Linked DNA regions of Alligator mississippiensis. The protein of the gene in region 2 interacts with the protein of the main gene of each other region in a pairwise test. Links are inferred from orthologs where the notes say so. Each region holds a gene or a part of one and is shown on either strand. Other genes may lie near its edges.

The links.
Region 1: the proteins of TMPO (region 2) and LMNB2 interact in a two-hybrid assay, tested with the Homo sapiens proteins (2 studies listed by BioGRID, with this or other methods). The link is inferred for Alligator mississippiensis from reciprocal best matches to the Homo sapiens genes TMPO and LMNB2.

Annotation. Positions count from the first base shown.
Region 1 is NC_081839.1:11,805,992-11,818,070, forward strand, and holds the start of LMNB2 (lamin-B2), read right to left. Parts: upstream 5,056-12,079; 5' UTR 4,972-5,055; coding exon 4,798-4,971; intron 1-4,797. UniProt on the Homo sapiens protein: Lamins are intermediate filament proteins that assemble into a filamentous meshwork, and which constitute the major components of the nuclear lamina, a fibrous layer on the nucleoplasmic side of the inner nuclear membrane.
Region 2 is NC_081827.1:93,736,953-93,748,815, forward strand, and holds the start of TMPO (thymopoietin), read right to left. Parts: upstream 4,554-11,863; 5' UTR 4,371-4,553; coding exon 4,119-4,370; intron 3,649-4,118; exon of another isoform or gene 3,628-3,648; coding exon of another isoform or gene 3,625-3,627; intron 1-3,624. UniProt on the Homo sapiens protein: May help direct the assembly of the nuclear lamina and thereby help maintain the structural organization of the nuclear envelope. Possible receptor for attachment of lamin filaments to the inner nuclear membrane.

The DNA.
Region 1 (12,079 bases), on a different chromosome or scaffold from region 2:
TGCACACCATAAGTTAGAGAATGTAGGCAACAGATGAGAAGCAAAAAGATATCAAACAAATACATGCCAAGTGAAAGCAATCAGACGGAACTTAAAGTATCAGAAATAAAAATGACAAATAATACAATTAATGCACACCAAAATGAGCAGCAAGAAGTTTTTTAGCTGGATACAGACAAGTGTGACATTTGTCACAACACTAAGTGAGAGCTGTATTAACCCTTGCTCTCTCTCAGATATTTCCTTATTAAGGGATCAAAACAGGAAAAAAAAAAAAAAAAAAAAAGAGTAGCCAAATAGCATACTCTGCTTTCCTGTCAACACCTCCAGGACCAACAACTAGCCATCAGGGAAGTATTTTTCCAAGTCAAATTAGCAGTGCACCAATAAAGATTTTTACCAATGGCAAATTATTAACTATCCAATACTGATCCGACTGCTGATATGCAGCCTGGCAGCTTGGACAACAGCATCGGGCCAGGAATTCTGTAGGGGAGAAAGGGACATGAGGGAGGGGAGGGGGCTACAGACTGAGGCCTCCACTGGGAGGGAGGGAGTGGGGCTGGGGCAGGCGCTGCCCAGCCAGGCAGAGCGTGGGACAGAGCCATGGGGAGCTCGTCCAGGGGGAACAAGGAGGCTCCTGCTGCTCCATAGATCCTGGGGAAGGCATGGGGCACATGTGCCCCCCAGATTTGTGCGTGGGGCAAGGGTGGGCTGCCAGCTGCAGGCTCAGGGCTGTGCCGGCCTCTTCCCAGTGGGGGGGAGGGGGAGCAGTGGCAGTGCTTGGAGGAGGGGCTACAGCCATGCCAAAATTCATCATAGCCCCCCTGTAGCTCCTCTCCCAGGGCCGCTGCCGCACACCCTGAGCACAGCCCCAGCCTAAGAAGAGGACAGCACAGCCTACATCCCTGAGCCTGCAGTGCTCACCCCACACACAAATCCAGGGGGCACATGCCTCCTATGCCTCCCATGGGGTGTGCACAGCAGCAGGAGCTGTCCTCCCTCCCCAGACAAGCCGCCTACAACTCTGTCCTGCATGCCTGCCCACCCTGTTCCACTCCCTCCCTCACTGTGAGGGCCTCAATTGGCCCCCCCACATCCCTTTCCTCCTCCCTTCCCCCCCCCCCCCCAGACTTACGAGCTGGACGCTGCTCTCCAAGCTGCTGAGGTACATTCCTGGCCGCGTGCATGCTGCAGCTGCACACATGCACATGGCATTTATTGATGAAATTATCAGCCAAAAAAAGCCAATGGCTGATAATCGATACTGGTGTCAAAAGCGGACTGGCAAAGTTCACTGATGACACCATATTTGGGGAAGAGTTTCCACACTTGAGGATAGGCTGGTGAACCAAGCCAACCTCGATAGGCTTGCAAGGTGGGTGGATGAAAACCTGATGGCATTCAATACAGAGAAATGCAAGGTGCTCCACCTCAGGAAAAAAAAACCCTGCATCACACTTATAGGCTCGGCAGTGTTACACCTGCTAGCACCAGGACCAAAGAGACTTGGGGGTCATGACTGACCACAAGATGAACATGAGCTACCAATGTGATACTGCAGCTGGCAAAGAGAACAAAACTCTGGCTTGCATCTACCGATGCATCTCAAGCAAGACCCAGGATGTCATCCTCCTACTGTACTTGGCCTTGGTGAGGCCACAGCTGGAGTCCTGCATCCAATTCTGGGCTCCAAAATTTAGGAAGGAGGTGGAGAAGCTTGAAAGAGACCAGAGGAGAGCCATGTGCACGATCAGAGGGCAAGACAACAGGCCTTACAAAGAGAGGCTGCCAGCTATGGGACTCTTCAGCTTGGAGAAACAGGCTCAGGGGTGACTTGGTGGCAGCCTATAAGTACATAAGGGGTGTGCATCAGGATCTGGGGGAACACCTGAGCATCCCAGGGGATGACAAGGTCCAATGGTCACAAACTCCTGCAAGACTGTTTTAGGCTGGACATAAGAAAAACTTCCTTATTGTCCAAGCCTGCAAGGACTGGAACAAACTCCCCCCAGAGGTGGTGCAAGCACCTACTCTAGACACTTCCAGGAAACATTTGGATGTTTCTCTTGCTGCGATCCTTTGACCCTAGCTGACTTCCTGCCCCTTGGCAGGGGGCTGGATCCGATGATCTTACAAGGTCCCTTCCAGCCCCAATGTCTATGCAATCTATGAAATGTCAATTTTCCTTTTATCAGTGCCGGTACAACATAGATCGATGTCGGTGCACCTCTAAATCAAAACCTACTTAACTTGGACAATACATTCTTTAAGAAAGAACATTTTCTCCCTATCATGTCTATATACCACCCACCACAAAGTCCATGTCCATGTATTGGGGTAGGCTGCAGCCAGGGCTGCGTGGGGCTCTTCTCCACAGGGGCTATGCTTAGAGTGGACGCTGGTGGTGCTGGGAGGATGCTGCATTCACCCCGAATTTCGCCGCTGCTCTGCTCCAAGCAGTGGGGTCGATGCAGCATTCACCCAGCACTTGCTCCAAGTCCAGGCCCTCCTGAAAAGATCCCCAGGCAGCATGGCTCCCCCCTCCCCCCGGGCAGTGCCTGACCCTGCCCCCTCCCTCACCATGGAGGGCATCGATCTGGATCTGCCTCCCCCACACCCCTTCCCTCCCCTTCCACCACACTAGACTTACCAGCCGGAGGCAGCTGTATCAGAAATCAGATCAGTATCAGTCGATATGCCTCCTGAAACATCGACTATCGGTACTGGCCCCCAAAACCCAACTGATTTGGAAGCAGGACTTCTTGCAGGCCAGACAAACCCAGCATAGACACTTACCCCACTTTTCCTCTGCCACTGATTTCAGGCACCCAACAGCAACCTAAGACCCCAAATGCAGTAGCAGACAAGAAAAAGGAGGAAGAGGGGCAAAAGCAACAATGCTCACCCCCTGGGTGCTGGAACCACACCAATGCAGTGGCTCTACCAGCTATGCCAAGAAGCCCAATGAGCCACAATTTGACCACTACAGGATAGCACTGCACTAGGATACCAGCTAAATTTGAAATATCTAAAATTATTCCCAAAATAATTATTTGCTGTTCTTCAGGAGGAGAAGACCCTTAAAACATGCCCAACCGTATGGAACGGCATTAAGAAATTTCCATATTGATGATGAACACCATTAAAATTCATGAATTTAAGCAGAAAAAAGGTAAAACAGAAATACTTTAGGTTGTAAAGCAAAAAACACTGGGCATACCTAATCTACAAAAATTCACTCCATTAATGACTAAACTTTAACTTATTGACTAAACTTTAACGTAAAGGAAAAAAAAAATCTATCAGACTATACAGCTATGCAATTGCTCTTGGCATCAGCTGCAAATGCCATTATTTACTCAAAAGCAAGGTAAGGTCTTTTGCCCCCAATCAGAATGGGAAAAATCTCATCTTGGATTCAAGGACCAGCCCAGGGCAGACAGCAGCTCAGCTCTGGCTTTGGCCCTGGGCTCAGAGCTGTGCCAGGGTTGAAATGACTTGTTCGGTGGCAAGTAGGGAAGAGACTGGGAGAGAGGGAGGGGGAACTATCTGCAACTTACCCACCCTTTGCCCCCTATGCCTGTGCCTGCCCCCCTACCCCAGCTACCCCTTCTATACCTCTTGCCTTCTGTTCCAACCCTGATCCCTCTAGCCCCAACCCACCCCAGGTAGGAACTGCTGCCACGTCTCCCTGGCCAGACTGGGCCAGGCCATCTACTACTGCTCACTGCCCCGGAGGAGCTGAGCACAGAAGGTAAAGAGGGGTGGGAGCAAGCACAGGGGGCAAGGGGTGGGGGGTAGGCTGCAGGGTGGGAGCCAGCACAGGCACAGAGGGAGCAAGAGGCTGGGGCCAGGCACAGGCCAGTGGGGACAAGGACTAGGGAAACAAGGTGCAAGTCTAGCCTCTTTCCTCCCACTGCTGCTTTCCCTGCCACAGCAGAGAATTTTCCATGTACACAATCTAATGATTGTGGGTCATTTTAAATTTGAAGCCATCTCAGAATCGGGCAAATTGGGTCGTTTTGGCTACAAAAGTTCCACTTCACTTTGAACGTAAAGGAAGCTACTTCTACTGCACAAGTGCTCAGAAATTCAGACAGGGGGCAGGAGTTGTTTCTTTTTTTTTTTTTTTTTTTTTTTTACAGGACCTATCCTAGGTGGACAAACCCTCAGATACAAATGGCCGTAGCTTTTCAAGTCTAACACAAGCACAGCTTAAACAACTGCTTGGGTCCCAAACACCCGCAACAGCCAGTGAAACAATCCTTGTCCAGGAGTCTCATTTATCCAAATTAACCTCGATTCGTACACTACCGCAGATGCTCAGCTTCTTACAGGGAAGATTTACGTACGCAGAAGCATCAGATTCAACTCGAGCAATACTTGCTCTCGCTTAACAAAAGGACACTCGCTCCCTGTTAGTCCTTCTGTATTAAAACCATGCTTCCTCTCCTTCTGCACACCATGTGCCCGCAGCGTGACTAAAGCAGATGAAAACTACGCGAATACACAGCCTGCAGGAGCTACTCTACCGCGCCGTCAACACAGAAAGCAAAGACAACTCGCCGCGGCCGTGAGACACATCAAAGTCTGAGAAGACAGAGGCGGGCCCGGCCCGCCCGCCGCCTCGGCCCCGGCGCCCGGGGACCCGCCAGCTCGTGGCCCGGAGGAGGCTCTCGCTTGGCCCCGCCGCCTCAGGACCCGCGGAGGGCCCCGGCCCCGGCCCCGGCCCTTCCCACCGGCCACACACGTGCGGCTGCGACGGCCCGGCCCGGCCCGCTCCCCCGGCCGCACCTCGCGGGTGGTGACCTCCTCCTTCTCCGAGATCTTCAGCAGCAGCCGGTCGTTCTCCAGCTCCAGCGAGCGCACGCGGTCAATGTAGACGGCCAGGCGGTCATTGAGCTGCCGCAGGTCCTCCTTCTCCTGCAGCCGGGAGATGCGGGTCGGGGACAGCGGGGTGCCCGACATGGCGCTCGCTCCGCCGGACGAGACGAGACGGGACGGGACGAGCGAGCAGCGGGTTCATTCAATCCAGCCGCACAGTGGGCGGGAGGAGCGGTAAGATGGCGGCCGCCTCCCCCAGTCCCGCGCAGCGCGGCCCGGCGCCCCCTGGGAAATGGAGTCTCGGGCCCGCGGCCGGGAGCGCGGGGGCTGCTGGGGGCTGTAGTCGCTGCAGGCACCCGCTGGGGACGAGGACTGAGCTCTGCACGTGCAGGACCTCCCCGGCCTTGGCTGGGGGATGTTCATCGTAGTGCGCGAAGGGCCTCGCGGGTTGGGACACACCTGAAAGGCCTTGTAGCCAAAGAGCCCCACGGCCTCGGGCGGGCAGCAGCAGGAGTGTTTTGTTGTGTAATTTAAACAGAAAAGGCCTGGTTTTAGGGGCGGGCAAGCAAGCAGGTCAGTTGCCCAGGCCGCAACATCTTGAGGGTCTACATGGCCCCATGCGTACCAAGAAGCTCTGCTGGCAGCCAGCAGCCACCATATGTATATCCACATCCTTCTAGCGCTGTGCGCCAGAGCACAAAAGCACCTGCAGCAGCCAGCGGAGAGCCCGAAGCGCACCTCCGTCCGAGCGGCAGCCCAAGCCCTATCCCCGGGAGAGGAGGCAGCAGCGTAACTGCTGGCAGAAGGGAGGTTCTTAGAGAAGAGCTCAGTCCAAAACGTGGATTTTCATAACTCCCACTGAGTTGCTAGCCTAACCTGGAGGTGCTACATGCCACGTGTACCCAGTATGATTTTGGGCAAGCCAAAAATGCCTGAGCCTTAAATGCAGATTGGTAAACTGTGCACTTAAATGAGATGTACCAGAATTCTGCCTGAATCTCAGAAAGTAGTCCATAATACGCTGCTCCAGCAGCCACAAAACTCATTAGATTACGAAGCCTCCTCACTGCCTACAGTTCATCTTTTCAGCTGTTTTCAGCAGGTCACCCAAGGGGCTCATTTAAAATAGGACTGCTTTCCTCAGCTCCTCTCCCCAGTTCTCCAGCACTGTGAACCCTCTACACTCTGATGCTCCACCGCCACTCTTCCTCCTTCAATATGCACAGCTGAAACCAGAGCTAGAAAACAGAGCAGGGGAGGAGTGTGTCCCATTTAGACACTGCAAATATGGTCACTAGATTATAGCATGGGTATCAAACTCACCTACCTTCCTTGGGCTGAATCTGGACTACGTAGCTCCTTGTAGGCCAGATCTGGACCCACCTCTGGTGGTGGGTGTAGTGATAGAAGTTACAGTTTAGTGCCACTGTAATTAAACTGTCGAACAAGCTTTAGTTAAAGCACGCCTGCTGCCATTTTTCAGCACAGGGATGCTGATACACGTGACACTGGAGTCTGCTGGAGCATGGTAATTACCATGCTCCAGCAGACTCAAGTAAGCCTGCTCTGACACGCTGTAATGGCAACACACCAGAACAGCCTCAACCTATGTGTATAAGTGCCCCATGATTCTGTAATCCAGTTACTGAGGCACTTAATGGGGTAGGAAAACTTGGTTTCTGATCCCAGGCATTAAGGATTTTTTGGGGGAGGTGCTAAATGTGATAACTGTCTAATTGAAAATACATAACCGGTTCAGGGAGCAGAATCCAGATTTCCCCACACCTAACTAAGAACACAAACTTTAGGATACTGAGGAGAGAAGTGCATCTGGATCCCCCACATTGACTGAGTGCTGCCTACTGGCTATTGTTTAAAGGGAGGTACAAACCCTCTAGCCATGATTTTCAAGAGGACTGGGTTTGGTGCTCAATTCCATGAAGTGAATCCTGAACAGATATAAGCACCTACCTCCCCACAGTCTGAAGTTAAATGCCTAAGAAACTGAAAGGCAGCAATTTCTCATGCACAGCCCTTTGTTTTTTTGCTATTTTGTTATTTTGAAAAAATAAAAGGTATAACACCTCTGAACCAAGAGTTTTGTATTCCTTCTTGTCTCAGACCAACACAGCTATAACACAGATCCCTGAAACATGGAAGATACCAAATTTTAGTAATTTCTTGGAATTACAAACTTCATTGCTAAACAAGAAAGCAACATTTCTGCCATCTGACACCACCAGGGAAGAGAAACTGCCTTATCTGAACATGCAAGAGAAACTCACACTAAGGGACTCTCATGGACCCAGAGGAACATAGATCCACCTTCAGCCTTCTCTGTGCAAAACGAAGCTTATTTTCTACCTAAGGTGACTTTTACCATCTTTAATTTCCCCTCAGCCTGAAGAAGGGTGTGTGTGTCCAAAACCTTGGGAAAAAATATTTTTTTTTACTATTTTCTGGTTGGTCTAATAAAAGGTATTATCTCTGAACCAAGAGGTGTATCTGTATTCCTTCTTTTCACACCAACATGGCTATAAAAAAGATAACCCTCTGTCTGGCATTTGTAATGACTATTTGAGGTGGCCCTTGCCCTCTTAGCATTGCTAGCTTTTTGTGAGTCCCATAGAAAGGCATGTAATCCCTTTCATGCATTATATACAGAGCCTGAGTGCCTAATACATCTGTGGATTACAATAAGTAGTAGAACACTGACACATTAGGCACGAAGACTGTTAGTTTGGCAAGTCTTAAGTCTTGCAAATCTAGCTTTAAGTGACTTGCCCAAGGTCTGAAAGAGTGGGAAATTGAACCCAAGTTCTATGCTTGCATTATACATGATATGATAAGATAATGTAGTCTTCTAAATAAAGTTGACTTTTTACTCACATCATTTTTTTTCTTTTCTTTGTGCTATCATTTTGAACTTAGTACCATTTTGGAATGGTGACATTCTTTCTTAATATATAATAGTTGCAACATGACCACAGACACTGTTCCCAGTTCAGTGCTGACTTTTAATAATCTAACCAATCCGCTCTAAATATACAGTCTGACTCCTAGCCATAAACAGCTAGCTTGAACTTGGATTTTTTTTTTCAAAAGGGGAGGAGGAAAAGACGGACTACAAATCCCAGAGTACTTTGGCATTTTAAACAAGAGACTTGGTCATGCACCATCTGTTAACCCAGGGCTGAAAGCCACAGCAGGAACAGCCCATATGCCTGTGGGAACCTCCCCTTTCACTTCCTTTGGATTTGAAATGCAGTTCTGTTTTTTAATTTTGGCGCCTGCCTGAAAACTGTAAACCAACTGCTGCTGGCCCAGCTCCAGAACTTAACTGCATGTCCCTCAGTGGAGTTGCTCCTTATCTGTATTCATGTTCTGTTTCAAATATATCTACCTTTTACCAGTTAAAGCAATTAAATGCTTGTCAGTACCAAGCAATGCACTTATGATGAGCATCTTGTTTCTTTCTCAGTACCAGCAAATATTTGGAGGATTCATGCCAAGATTATATATTTTAGGAATGTTGAAAATTCCATTCTAACCGTTTTGGTTTTTGTTTTTTTGTTTGTTTGTTTGTTTGGGGGGGGGGGTTGTGCTTATCTCAATACCTCCTTCCTGCTTTGTCATTTGTAACGTTTCAAATTCAAACCCTTCTCAATTTTTCTAGGTAATTTAATCCAGATGTTCCTACTTATTTACTTGATACAGTTCAGCCCAGGCTTACCTATTCGTTTTTAGGAAGTATCTTCTAGGTTTTGAATCCTTGAAAAACATGGAAAATTTGTTCCCTAATAATTTTAACAATTCCTTTCATAATATGGAATTTCATATTTTGTCACAGCAAAATTTCTTTTCCCAAACAATGTCCCTTAAACATGAATTACTACTTGGATGCTTGAGCTATGATATCTTTTATAGTTTCTTAGATGGTCCACTCTCCATAGGAAAAATCTAGCTATGGCATGCATGGTTAGGGTACCATACATGAGCAAAACTGTCCACGCTACTCCCTGGTAATACACAATATTCTATATGGGCTGTAACAAGTACCTTAGTGAGACTGACTGCCATGTCAAACGAATTATCTCCTTGAGCAGTACTAAATCATTAGTGGTTCTGTCATTCATTCCTCATCTCCTAGCCTTTGTTTCCTGAATCATCAAAACACATGCACAAGATCCACACACTAGCACTACCCACACCAATAAAATGTAGAGTTGATTAGAGCTTACTTCTTTCATTCAGTGAGCAAAATTGATCCTCCAACCTCAGACTTTAATATCCATTCACTGATAATAAAGGCTTGGCCCAGGGACTTTATGTATCTCTGAGAAGTACAGGCAGGCAACTCTTGGAATAACAAGGAATATTGACAGTAAGGGTGCGTCCAGACAAGCATGCACATGTGGTTTGTGGCACTGCAAACTGTACACGCTGCACATGCATGTGTTTGCTGTGCTGCTAATTAGCAGCATGATGATTTTTTTTGTCACAGGGATCTCCTGGTGTCAAAAAAAGATTCACAAGAAAAAAAGCAGAGTAGCGTACATGCATAGTGGCAAGCATGTACTGACTGAAACCAGAGCCTGACTGACCAGGCTCCTCATGTCTAGATTGCCACTGCTGCAGGCCTGACAGGTCCCCAGGACCAAAGGTAAGGCTGCTGGGGGCAGCCCAGGTGCTTCAATGATTCTCTCAGTTTCTCCAATCCCTTCTCAGCAAAGGACTATACGGTTCTGGGAAGTGAAGATATATCTGAACATTTTGTTTCAAATTCAACCCAGCTCAGTCAGCAGTTACCAAGTCATTCATTTAAACCATCTGATGACAGCTCGTCAGTTTGCAAGAAGGGTCTCATGTATTCAGCAGCCATTGATTTAATTGCAGCATAGAGCCTTCACCAAATCTTTTATTTTAAAAAATGTGTTTCTCGAGTGGACAAATCACCTTTCAGGATGAACAGGACCACACCATGCTGTGTGGAGATGCAGACTCCCTGAATGGACTCCTCATAAATTCCTAAATATTTGGGATCTTGTGCACTGATTGGATAAGAGGACTGGAGAAGGACGTGCCCCTGCAACTCCCCACAAAGGACAATAGAAAAAAAGTTCTTTAGAAATAGTCACAAGGGGGGCAAGAATATCATCATAACAATGTGAATATGAGGAGCAAAAAACAAATTAGATACTATGTCCCAAAGACTAGTTCTGCATCTGCTATGCGAACGCTCATAGTTAAGGGAACAGAACAGAACACCATGCACATTTGGGGGATTAAAGCCAAACAGATCCCATACTATCTGTAAAACAAGGGCTCTTTTAGATAGGTGAAACATGCTGAACTTGAAACTCTTTGCAAAGTTGCTTCCTTTCATTGCTATAAACAGATTGTTCAAGCTGAATGCTTCTTGTAATTCATGGCAGAATCTTCCTGGCAGGGCACCCTTCTACACGTAGGATAGATCTAAGAACCCAGAATTGTCACTCCAGCTTGGACTGGAGTCTATCCAGTCTACCTTCCTGTCTCAGACGGTGGCCCATATGTATCAGGCAATTCAAAGGAAAGTGCAAAACCTCCCAATGATAGATATTTGCAGAACGATCTGCCCATAGGGGCAATTCTTTCTAACCCTAACGAGCTAGTGGTTGGTAGGTGCTCTGAAACAGAAGTGTTAATATCCCCCTGTTACAAAGATGAGCAATGCAGTAAAAACAATACAGGTATTTCTTGGGACTCTGACTGCAAGCACTTGCATAGCTTGTGGAACGGGAGACAGAAATTTCTGTATATACGTGATTGTTGCATATACAGATTAACAACCCATCTAAATTGGATTAACTGGGGTAATTCTTGATGCAAGTTTTAATTAACATTGGACTAGGACTTTCAATCCTAAACTTTGTGGGATTTTACTTTCAGATCCAGACCTGAATTTCATTCTATGTCCACTCCACACTACAAACGTTCTGCCAGCAAAGTACATGCACATTCAAAGCCCCTCTGTGGCAGCAGAACCCTCCATTCCATCATAAGAATTACTTCACCTCTGCGGAGTGGAGCAAGACTTCCGCTGATTCCCAGCAGCAAGCAAGAGAATCTAAAAACTCTTGTATCTTCACCCAGCTGCCATGGTCCATTCAGCAGCTGGTGCCTTCTCAAAATAGATTTTGTGCTCCAGTGGTACAACTGTTGGACCAGAGATGTGTTGAGCTTCCAAAAGCCCATAATGAACGTGCTCTGGCAGCTGCCATCTGGCTGTAGAAGCATCTTAGTGTAGACATAACCCTAAATTTTAGAAAGTCCCCAAACTAAGAAAAACTTGGAAGATGTGGCACACCAAGCAAATTTTTTGTAAAGACGAAGAGCCCAAACCAGACTTAGATTAACTTCAGTTGAGTCATTCTTGAAGTTCACCAGCACCATACAAATCAGGTCTGCACACCTCTCATCTCCAGCACAGAGCTGATATAATGTGCTCTACATAGGGCTACATAGTAAATTCATTCAAAGTTGGAAGCTAGCACAGAAGGTTTAGTCTGATTGAAAAGTGGACTATCCTGCCCAGAGAGTACAAAACCAGCTGTCTGGGATTTGCATTTGGTTCCAAGAAAAAATAAATGTGTTACTTTTGATTTATCAAGCCCAAAATTACATGCACAGTACTATATAAATAACTCCTGTCTATCTTCTTTCCCTCCACCTATGAGCCTGCTTAGCTGAGATCAGCAAAGGTGTTCACACTAGAGCTTCCTCAGGGAAGGTGTGAGGCACTTTCTCTGTGATGAATTCTCAGATTTACAACTCACTCCAAGTTTTGATGGAATCTGCAACCTAATATAGGGTTGGGGTGTTATTGTACCTGTGGTGGTCTAGAAAATATGCGAGAAATCAGGGGTGTTTTTAGTGTTATCTTTTACTAGATGGTATAGTTGGAAGGAACATTAGACAAGCTCTTGGGCCCAAAGTGCCCTTCCTCAGGTCTTAGAAATAAGCAGGTACAGCCTGAGTCAAATTCAGATAAAACAATAGCTTTTTTTATCCAACAGGACTGGAGCAGGACTCCATGGCCTCTACATCAGTCATCTTGCTATCCCAGATAGTAACTGTGGCAATCCATGAAGCAGGGCACACACTGGGCACACACTGTTTTGCACCTGTTGATATGGGTGTTTCAATTATCAGGGATGTCATCAAGAAATCTGTCATGCTGGGACCACTGCCTCCTGGAAGCACAGATTTC
Region 2 (11,863 bases):
AAAAAAGTTGAAACGCACATCTGACAGAACTTGGTAGCTAGTTTTCTCTTACAAGCAGATTCCCTAAAGCAACAGAAAGATCTGGCAAAAAGTGTACCACATCTGGCTATAGCACTCAGGTCAGGTGACTAATACCAGAAAAAAAAACAAACGTTTTGAAGTCCAGCTTTCAAATGGATGCTGAACATTGTGAATATGCTGTTTTAAGGGAGTTAGGCTGCAGGTTCTGGAACCATAAACATATTACCAACACTTTCCCTTTCCCCCCTGTTCCACAGCACCTCTATCCATAGTATACCTGGCGATTAAAGACATATCAGCCAAATTTGTTTTATCTTCATGTGCTGTAAAAAAAAAAAAAGGGGGGGAGGGGAGGAGCCTTGTTTCCTTTGAATGGGCAATACATTTTTCCTGTTATAACAAGAAGGATTCATGGGTAAAAAGAAAGAAGAAACAAAAGATAGAACACCGAACTTATCCTGTGGACAGTCAACTGGAGACAAAGATCTCAGATCTTTAATTTAAAAAAGATCCAGGGCATTCTTGTCCTCAGAGAGCAGGCAGGTAGTTTTGGGTATCTTTATACTAGCCTATATGGCACAGAAGTGACATAACCATAGCAAAGACTCTCAAAGGGTTCAAGCTGACTTGCCTTAAAATAAACCTGAGAGAGAGAGTAAGTCATCCAAGCAAAGCATCTCCTCATTCTTACTCTTATATCTAAACCAATATCCTGATTTTCAATAATAAACAAAAACAAGCACAAAACAGTGCATTGCATATCCCCCTCTAAATCAGTAGGTGCAGAGAACATTCACATTCTTCTGTGCAAGTTAAGGATACTATTTATTCATAATCTCTTGGGATACATCCTCTAAATTTAGGAAGAAATCAGACTGATCTGTTCTCCTTGCATATTTTGCTTATTAACGGCAAGCAAACTGATTAGCTAAAGAATGTTCTCTGTTCCCCCGCCTGTTCCAGTTGGTTATTTTGGTAAACCTCAAAAAACCATTCCTCCTTCTCCCCTACAAAGGGTTGTACACTCTGTTCCTACCTATCACCAGGCACCCCATACCAGAATAGCAGATAAAATGAATACCTTACATAAAAAAAACAAACAAAAACAAAATCAGGAGGTTGGCTTGGCTTAACAGCTTGTCTTACTAAAAAAAAAGGGAAGGGGGAAACCCTCTACCACAATATATAGTAGAGCTTAATGAGTCATTATTCTTACCCATTCTACCAGCTCTATTGGCTTGCTGAACCTACATTATATCGTGTCCAAAATTGCTTAAAATCTTTAGATCAGAGATCACATACATCCATATTTTGAAACTCTGGATACAAAGAATAAGTTATATCAAAATAGATCCTAAATTAAGAAAATGTAATAACAGAAGATGACAGATGCAATGAATGCTTTAAAGTTTCAAAAATTTTTTTAAATTAATTCTCAGTTGTTACTTGCCTGGTAGTCATTCATGGTTGTCAACATATTAGTTACTAATGACTAGGCAGAAAAGAAATGAGTTGCATCCCTGTGACCTAGCTCTGAGGACAGCTTGCAGGTGCAGTTTCCACTGAAAGGCTGTCACTAGTGGTATCTACTTCGGTCAGATGCAAGCCCCCAACTCATTTGTAAGCGGGAATACAATAGACCAAACACAGAAAAAATGCAGGGCTCACTTTTTTTTTTTTTATCAAATAGAAAAAGGATTTTGACAAGCAAAAGATTATGGCAAGTCACTTGGACTGCCTGGCAGTCTGTATGAAGCCCAACAACCATGTTATGCACTCCTGAGACAGCTGGTAGGTAGCATAATCCTACCCAATTTTACTTGAGACTAACACAATTTCAGAGCTGCTTGAAACTATAACTGTTCTGAACAGTTTTGCAGGTAGAGTTGGAAACTTATCAAGAGTTGTAAAGTTGTCATCTCAAGTTGAACATACAACCTTGCAAGCTTGACAAGAAAGCATTGTTACCTGGCAAAGGGTGTTTAGTATAAAACAAGCTCTCAAATCTTGCCAAATTAGGAGAGTTTTCCTACTTTTTTGGATTCTAGACATGTGAAGCATGTGGTACCTGGTATTCCCCATTATTGGAGGCTTTCTTTAAAGCTGTCACAAGATGTACATGAACAACTCCCCTGCATAATTGAAAGACACAGTATATTAGGCTGCCTCTGTAACTATCTACCAATACTACTTAGATTTGAATTGGGCATATTAAAAAAAAACCTCAGTTAACCAGCCTAACAGAGGAGAAACACCCTCTCTTTCAGACCTCTTGCCTCAAACAGGTCTGAATAGATCAGGGGTGTCCAACCTTTTTGAATGTGGGGCCAGATCATGAACTTCTTAATCACCCAGCGGGCCAGCAGAAGCAGGCGTTCGCGTGGCCTGTCCAGTCCGGCCACGGCCTGGGGGCGCAGGGGTCAAGGGGTGCCGCCTGATCCCGCCGTGTCCTCCCTGCCACCTGGACGGCCTCAAGGATGCTCCCACACCTGTGCGCCTGGGCTCAGCAGCCAGGGGGACATGTAGGGACTCTACAGGGGGGTGCGGGATGTGCAGGGACACTCCCCTGCTCCCTCTCCCCCAGGGCAGCCCAAGCTCAAGCCCAAGCAGCAGGGGTCCCTCCCTCCATGGGGCCCGCGACTCACCACCCCCAGCACAATGTCTGCAGGCACGGGGGAGGCGCGAGCGGCGCTGGCTTCCTGCCCTGACAGCCACAGCAGCAGCATCTCGCAGGCCCAGCTGCAGCATCCCTCCGAGCCGGCATCCGCACCCCGAACCCGCCGCACCGCGACCTGCTCCAGCCCATACGGCCCGGCAGGGACCAGCACAGGGTGGGGCCGGCATGCAAATGAGGAAGGGAGGGGCAGAGCTAGGGAAGGAAACCCTGCAATATGGGAAAGGGGAGGAGCTGGCATGCAAATGAGGAAGGGAGGGGCAAGGAAGGGACACCGTGAAATGTGGGGGGAGGGGACGAGCCCGCACCATGTTGGCAAGGTAAAGCCTAACCTTGTCCCTTCCCCAGCCCTTCAGCAGCCACTAGGAACCTGCTGAGAGGCTAGGAGGGACAAGGGGTAGGAATGAAAGTAGAGTGTTTCATTCCCGTCGCAGCACTGTGGGCCTCAGAAAATGGCTTGGCAGGCCATATGTTGGACAAGCCTGGAATAGATTGTATTACAAACTGCAACAATGTAGCAATGAATTGTTATAAGTCTTCACAGAGTATATACCATAACAGACCTGGTTACACTTTAGATCAGCGCTCCCAAACTCTGACAGATTGTGCCCCATCAACTTAAAATTATATAACATTAAGTACCATCAACATTTTTTTAGTTCAACCTTAAATACCACCAGCAAATTTTTGTCTGATAAAGTAATTATAATACAGCTGTTAACATGTGCCATTGACAGGTTGTCTGCGTACCACTGGTGGTGCCTGTACCACAGACTGCAACCTGCTGTTTTAGATTTAACCTTTTTAAAGAGCTTCCTCCATTTAAGATAAATCAAAGAATTTCCCCTCTTTTACGAGGAAGCTAGCAGATACCTGCATATGAGAACCAATCTGAAACAGCCGGATGGCTGCACCAAAGAGCAGCTCACCATGGAGAAGGGAACTCAGAAAGAAGCAGGTAAGTCCCACAAGGACCAGGTGCTCCCTGGCCAGAAAGGCTCAGCAGGACTCCTTCCTCAAACTAAGCAGAGGTAGCCTAGACCCCCACAGGACCAGCCGCTGCACAGCCAACCCTCCTCTTCCTCCCTGTCCCTTTTACAGTCCCCTGCAACGGCCCGCGAGGAAGTTCTCTTTCATCAACTTTTCTATTCCTGCCACGGGCAGCTCGGCACAGCGGTGTACCGCCGCGGCGGGCGCTTGCTGGGAGCAGCCGGCACCCGTGATCCCCCACCCGGGCAGACGGGTGCCCGGGCTGGGCAGGCCGCGGAGGCGGGGCCGCACGTGGGAGGCCGCGCCGGGAGCCAGGCGCAGCGGGGGTGGGGGAGGGGCGGGGCGGCCCCATTCGGGCGGGAAAGCGCGGCCGCCCGCGCTCGGGTTACACCGCGGCCACCTGCCGGCTCGGCGAGCGAGAGGGAGCTCTTACCCGGCCAGCGGCGGCGCCGCCCCCCCTGCCGCGGGTGCCGAGCGGGGTGGGTTCGCGCTCCTCGTCGCTGGAGAAGTCGGGCGGGCCGGGGCCGGGCGCGGGCGCGTTGCGCGCCGTGAGGTGCTGCAGGTAGAGCTGCACGTAGACGTCCTTGCGCTGCTCGCCGCCCGGCAGGCTCACATTGTTGGCCAGCAGCTCGCTCTTCAGCTTCTCCTTGGTCAGCACCGACGGGTCGGCCAGGAACTCGGGCATGGCTGGCGCCGCTCGCCCGCCCGGCCGGAGAGGCGCCAACAAAGGGGAGGAGGAGGCGGGGCAGGGGCCGCGAGGAGGAGGAGGAGGAGGAGGAGGAGGAGGAGGAGGGTGGGGGCAGGGGGTGGAACTCGCCTCAGCCCCGCGCCAACGGCCCCGGCTCCGCGGCGCGCGCAACCGAAGCGCTTCCCCCGACCCGCAATAAAGCGCGTCCGGATTGGCCGGGGCATGAACGAAGCCGCGCGGAGATTGGCTGCGGGGCTGGGAAGGGGAGCGGCGCGCGGGTTCCACCAGCAGCAGTGCTTTGCGCGAGGCAGAGTCACGCAGTTTAAATTCGGTGCAGGCGGGAGCCGCGCTTCCCGCGTGTGGGAAGAGAGGGGCGGGGCGTCCCGTTCGCGCCCCAGCCCCAACCGAGGCCGGGTGTCCCGCTCCGAGGCCCTCCCCCACCACGTCCCCGCGCCCCAGCGTGCGGCCGCAGGGATCCTGCTTGCACTGCACAGCCCGGGGGCCGCGAGCCGGCGCTCTTGCTGGGGCAACAGCCCACAGGCTGGCCGCAAGGACCCGCTCCAGGCGAGTCCAACAGCAATGAAAGCTGCCGGCAGGCACCCCGCCCGCGAGGGTTGAGAGCCGGACAGCCAACCCACCCCCACCTTTCTTCTGTGATTCCCCTGACCCCAGCTCTCAGGCGCTGCGAGGTGGGGCATTGTGGGGCGGAGGGTGGAGCGGAAAATGAAACTGCTGCAAGGTGAGCGGCAAGCCGATCTGAGGGACGATGACAGCGGAAGCAGGAGCGACAGTGACAGCAACACCGACAGGAGAGGAACTGAGAATAAACCCCAACAGCAGGATTAGGACTAAGACTGCGCTTGGGTTAGGGAAAGGACTGAATGGGAGTGCGGGTCTGCAGGTGCATTTATTGTAACGGCTGCAGGCTTTCAATGTGGCTTAAGGTGTGTGAAGAAAAGCTTTTACTTGATCTATATATATATATATTTATTTTTTTTTTCCGGAAGAAAAAATCTGTGCAGTCATTTCAACACTGCTGTACACTTCTAGCAGGGCTGCTGTGCCCCAGAGGACTCAGTCTCTGGCCGGAAAACAGGCTTTTCACTGAGCTCTCTGGGAGCCACTGTGAGGGAAACCAGCTTTCAGTCCCAGCAGGACTTCCACAGAAACCAACCCCTCTCTTTCTGTTTTGGGAGCCAGTGATTGCCCTGGCCAGGATTTCTCCCCACCCACAGCAACAGCTACAGGGAAGCAGTGGGCACTTCTAGTAAGAGAGCATTGAACCGTCTGGTTCACAAGCACAGCCCTGCCTCTGAGTAGATGCTGTGTCAAGGTGGTGCAACACAGGGCTGAAGCTAGCTCAGAGACTTTGTTTACTCTGTTATAATATTTGTAGTTTGGTTACTTTGTTCAAATGTATTTATGTCTGTTATGTCATCTTTGGGAGCATGGCATTTAGCAAGAATCCTTAATAAATGAAAATAAATATCCTAACAGTGAAAATAGCCAGAAGTGGCCCGTGGGCATCTGCACTCTTGACCATTTTGCATCTACTGAAGAGCAGGAGCATAGGATTAAGTGTACTATTTGTTCAGTTTCCAACATCTTATAGTAGGTAGCATCCCTAGTCGCAATTACCTCTCAATGAGTGCATCTACACAACATGCCTTAATGCACAGTGGACTGTTCTGCACATAAGGAAAAGATGTGCTAATGTGCAGTAGAATGTCTACTGCACATTAAGCATATAAAAAAACAACCATTTGCCTTTGCTACTGCACATTAGCATGGGTTAATGCACCTTTGGGTGCATAGCCAAGGTATGTTAACTGCGCAGTAGCCTAATAATACTGTACAGTAGCACGTCACATCACAAACAGTTCTAATACACTACTGCATAGTATTAGTAAGCTATTGCACATTCACTGACACTACCACGCAGTAACTCCAGTTACTGCGCACTTATTTAGTACGTGATTATACAAGTACGAAATTAAATGTACAGTAACTACTGCACATTAATGAATGTGTAGATGCACCCTTTATGTAGTACCTCAGAGGTACTAAACTTGATGCACAGTAGTAAAGACACATTAATTACCATGCAGATGCTCCCAGTAAATTGTTATATTCAACTACTTCCGAAACGATATACAGGCAGTCCTCGGACTTACAACACAATTGGTTTCTGAAAATTGCATCTTAAGTCGAAACGTTGTAACTCAGAACCAGTTTTCTCATAAGAAATATAAATGGGAGACTGGTTCCTGAGCCAAGGCCCGATACCCTATTTTCACCAAAAATACTCCAGAATTTTTTACTCGATCAATTATAGATGAGTAATATAGCTACATTAATGTATTTCTATTGTAAATAGCAATCATATTGATTTGGAAGGACTTATTTGAGGTGACTTTGCTGGGCTTTTTGAAAGGCTCTCAGCTGTAGTCTTCTCAGGAGTCTTGGTTGCAGGTTTTTCTGGAGTCTTGTCTGCTTTCTTAAAGAAAGTGTCCAAGGAAGTTGGGACAGATGTTCTCCAGGGAGATGAGCAACGCAGCAAACTTGTTCACTGGCATGGCGTTGCATCGGATCATGCGTTGTAAAGTTGAAACTGACATCGTAAAGTTGAAACAGTGTCAATTTATAAATGTAAGTGCAAAACGTAACTCGAAATGTAACTCGAGGACTGCCTGTAAGCCAAACAGGAATAAAAGTGTCCATCGGGGAGCATAATACTTTAAATTCACGCTCACACTGATACAACAACTTCCCTCTATAGGCAAGCCAGAATCCTTTTCACCTAGTCTGTTCTTTGTGCAGAGGATATCACAAATTGTGTGAAGTTGGTATACCTTTGACAGCTGCCTTTAGGAGTAATGAGCATTGTACAGGCATGCCAAGGATCATCACCAGTGTCATCAGCAGTCCCTCAATATGATGGTGACAGTCTTCCATCAGTGAGTCCATAGACAATTGAGGACAGTCCAAGATCTGCATGTTCAGCTACAGACATGGCAAATAGTTCTGGGAGGAAAGAGCAGTAGCTAGTGATGTCAAGTCACAGGTCTTCCCTTTGTCTCTCATCTATCCACCTCCAGAGAGAGGTGAGTTTGCTCAAAATGGCTCATGCCTTGATGTACATCACAGCACCACTAGGGATAACTCAATGCTTGAGTCTCTGAGGTATTAATGTTAGTATCACATTTCTTCAGATGGGCCTTTAAGGTGACCTGAAGAGATTCAAGGACAATGAAGGCCATGTAAAGATCTTAGCATTGCTTGCTGCACTTCTGCAACTATCTAGCAACAAAGATCATATCGACTAACTCTGAGTGGTCTGAAACTATGTTGGGACTTGGGTAAAATCTCTCCAGTGAGGGAACTGAGTCTACTGAGAAGAATGTGGGTGAGGATTGTCCCAGCTAAGGACAAGAGTGCAATACCATGGTAACTGCTGCACTGTGATATATCTTATTTCTTGAATATGGTAAAGATTCTGGCATCAAGTTATTAGGAATCTGTTCACATTTCCAGATTTTCATGAGAACTGTATATAGTGGATGAGAAAGCTTTTTTTCCACATTGCTTATAAATTTCAGCTGGTATTCCATTGTTGTTCTTCATATGCTTAATGGCTTTCAAGGCCTCTTGAAAGTTGGTGGGTCTGCAAGGTCAGCTTAATGGGGTGTTATGGAATGGCTTTGATTGCATTGCCTCCAACATTAGAATCTTGATTCAGGAGCTCTTGAAAGTACTTGTCCTATGCATTGATGGTGGAGCTGTCTTTAAAGAGTATTGTTCCATCCTTGGATCTCAGAGCAATGGCTCCTTGTGTGTTTGGCTCATAGACAGTTTTGTTTGTGCTGAAGAAACTCTGCCTGTTGAAGCTGTCAGCAAGCTTTCAAATCTCTTTTGTTTTGTCCTCTCACCACTGGTTCTTTTGCTCTTAAATTTTCCTTTGGGTCTTGGCTTTAATGTGACAATAAGTGTCTTGCTTCTGCTTGGAGTTAATATCATTCTGCCAAGCTTTGAGGGCTCCCCTTTCTCTGTCAATGAGAGTTTAAGTTTTCTTGTCATTCTCACCAAATCAGTCCTGATGCTTCTTTCTGCAGTGTTAGGCTGTGGCCTCAAACCTGGAGTCTCACTCTTCCCAGAATGGCCACTCATCCCAGTCTGCCTCCTCCCCACTTGACCATACAAGCAGAGCAAGTTAGCCAGAAACCTCCATTTGGATCTAACCTTCAACCCACTCCCTAGAATGGCTAGCCAGGTTCAGCTAACCCATCATTCTCCTCCCCTGACCCCAAAAAGGCAGCATCTGGGCAACAGAGCTCAACTCTGACTAAAATTACCTTGCTGTTCTTTATGGCTTGTGCATCTACCTGCTCTCCACTTGATCTCTTGGTTACCTAACCTGGCTCGCTCTCTGACTCTATGCTCTGCCTGACCCTTTAGCTTTTCCCAGCTCTTTGCCTGTTCTCCTGGCTACTTAACCTGGTTTACCCACTGACTCTATGCTCTACCTGACCCTCTGGCTTCCTGACTTGGCTTGACTGACCTGGCTTCCTGACTTCTTCATACCTGCTGTCACAGTCCACCAGGCCAGCATGCCTAGTAGGTAGAACCAGGCATGGAGCAGGGGCTCCAGGGTAAGGGTCAGGAGCCACAAGTCAGGATTCAAAATGCTAAGCCAGGATCAGGAGCTGGGAATCAGAAACCTAGTTATCAAGTGTGAAGGATAATACACAGGGCAAAGTCCAAAAGTAAGCCATGCTGGGGTCAGAAATCAGGAAACATGTCTGCAGGGAGAATCCAAAGGCAGAGTCAGGAACCAGGTAAGCCAGAGAAATTACTGGGACAGGAGCTGCACTGAGTGAAGAGCAGTGTGTTACGCAGCAAGGTTCAGGTTCTGGGGGAGTTCCTTAATGCAGTTCCAGAACCAGAGGGAAGGGGCTGGGGGTTAGTTGGCCATGATTGGTAGCAACTGAGTCAGTGCACTTAACAAGGGCTGCAGGGCAAAAGACTGCTTAAGCCTTACAGAGCTGACCCAGGCTGCAGCATAGGAGCCTTACACCTGGATTCTGCTCCCTCCTACCAACCCTCATTGTCCCCTCTACCCCAAGAAACCCCTAGACTTGGCCAGACATGATATGGAGAAGCCTAACTGCCTCAAGGATGCCTTTCTCCAGGCTTTTCTAGTGATCAGCATGATCAAGATTATCAGGGAGGTCAAAGAGTTTCTCATTGTGGCACTGCTGGAAGTGATCACTTTTATCAGGATTTTTTAAGCACTCAATATTGAACCTCTTCCTTGCTTCTTTTGTTTGTCATTTTGGGGCAATACAAACGGACATGAAAGAACGTATCAAACAATGATCTGTCATCTGTGCTAGTCATAGCTCTTGGTGATACAGATATTACAAAGGATCTGGGAAAACACTATCTTGGGCAATCAAGTGCCAGTGTTTTGTGCAGGGCTGCACCCATGTTCCTTCCATTTGTTGCTTTGGTGGAATGAGTTTGTGATTATGAAATCATGTTTTAAAAACTTGCTCAGGAGAAGAATTCTATTGGAATGGACTTTCCCTTTCTTTCCAAATGTTCCTTTCCATAGCCCAGAATACCTGCCCACACTACCATTGAAACCATCATGAAGAATTATCTTCAGGGACAGATAATAAGATTTGATCAGGTTTATAATCAAACTCTTCTTTGTTTCATCATTTGCATCAACGGTTGGGCTCACGCACTGATGACTGTTACATGTAGTCTGTTGGTCAGCTGAAGACAAAAGGTCATGAAGCTGACTGGGCATTCTGGCATCTGAGTGACAGTCTTATTCTTGGTAGTAAAACCAACACCATGAATGTCAATATCAAATTATGCAAGTACTCTGCTACATATGCTGTCTTTTACTCAGGTCAGTCACTGTTAGGGTAGTTCAGGCACTGTGGACATTCCAAGTTGGAAACTTCATTACTTGATTTGAACTGAAGATAGCCATCTCACTGGATGCAGTTTTCCAGTCAGGTGAAGTGAGATAGACTACATTTAAAGCACCTTTCTAAACCTTTCCCCATATGGGTTGAGCAGAATGGATCTTAAATAGGCCTGCTCAATCATGATTGCACCTGCCAAATTAAACACCAAGTTCCAAGTAAAACAGTTCCAAGTAAAACAGCCATCATGCCATCACCTCTGTGTAGGTTCATGACTAGGGGCTTCTCATAATCATTAGCACCTGTTGCTGTCACCATTTGCCCATCTCCATAGAACTATCACTAGCCTACCCAGTAATCACTAGCACCTGCCCATATCTTCTTTTATTGTGGGGGGTGTCCTTGTGCACCAGCAGCTACAAAATACTTCACAGGAAGGAACCCTTAATCTGAGGGCAAGGAACACCTACACAACCAGAGATTTTTATTCCGCTGCAACCTTCATTTGCCTTTGCGTTTTTGTGATGTATTTTTTCTTTATCTGCCTGCTCCATCATTGAGGATTTTTACTTTTGGATTGCTATTAGCCTGAAAATCTTGCTCTTGACCTTTCCACTATGGTCCAAAACTGCAGACAGCATCACTCTCAAGGTTCTTGGTAGCACATAAGCCTCTCCACCATATCAAGGTTGCAATCCTTGGGAGGATACGGCCAAAATGTGTGCAGCTGTTATACTGGAGAGCCCACAGCTACCTACAGAGTTAAAGTCATCATCCACCTCAGGGTCTGGGTTGTTTTTTGGTTGGTTGCCTTGTTTTAGTGAAAAAGAACTTACATCCTGGAGCAAAAGATCAGTGAGAAACCAGTGCTAAGGCACTATTAACCATCAGTGAGAAACCACCATGCTCCCTTCTACTCTTCCTACAAGAAGAAACTGCTAGTATATTTATTACCAGTCTTGTATTAAATATTTTCGAATACAAACTTATTGTCTGATGACACCTCTTATGTGTATTGCATTATTTGAGATTCAGATGAATTATGCACTACATCTGTAGGTTCTGCTTTTCAAAGTCTGAAACAATAATTACAAGACTCACATGCACCATCACCTATGAAACAGGCAGGTGCATTTTACCTACTGTTAAATGCAAATAGGAAGAGGAAGGTAACACAAGAAAGCAAGAGAAATAAGTGAGAGACTGTGGCCATTTTCATCTGTTGAAAAGCTGCTGTAAGCCTGCCTAAAAATGTGGAATATGCTGAAAGCAGAAGCCAAAAATACTTTCTGTGCAGGACACTTCTGAATTACTGGAATTCCTCAGCTTTCCAGAATGAGAGAGAAAGAGATTTAGTTACAGAACCGTCTTTGATGTAAAGAGACTGACCATTATGAAAATTACCTCAAGTATCTATTTTTATTGGGAGCTTCCATAACTTTATGATTCTTCTTCTATACTATAGCATTGTGAATAAAAATGAGAAATATATTTAATGTTATATTGTATTATATAAAATACACTTTGTATATCGAATGATTATTTAATATA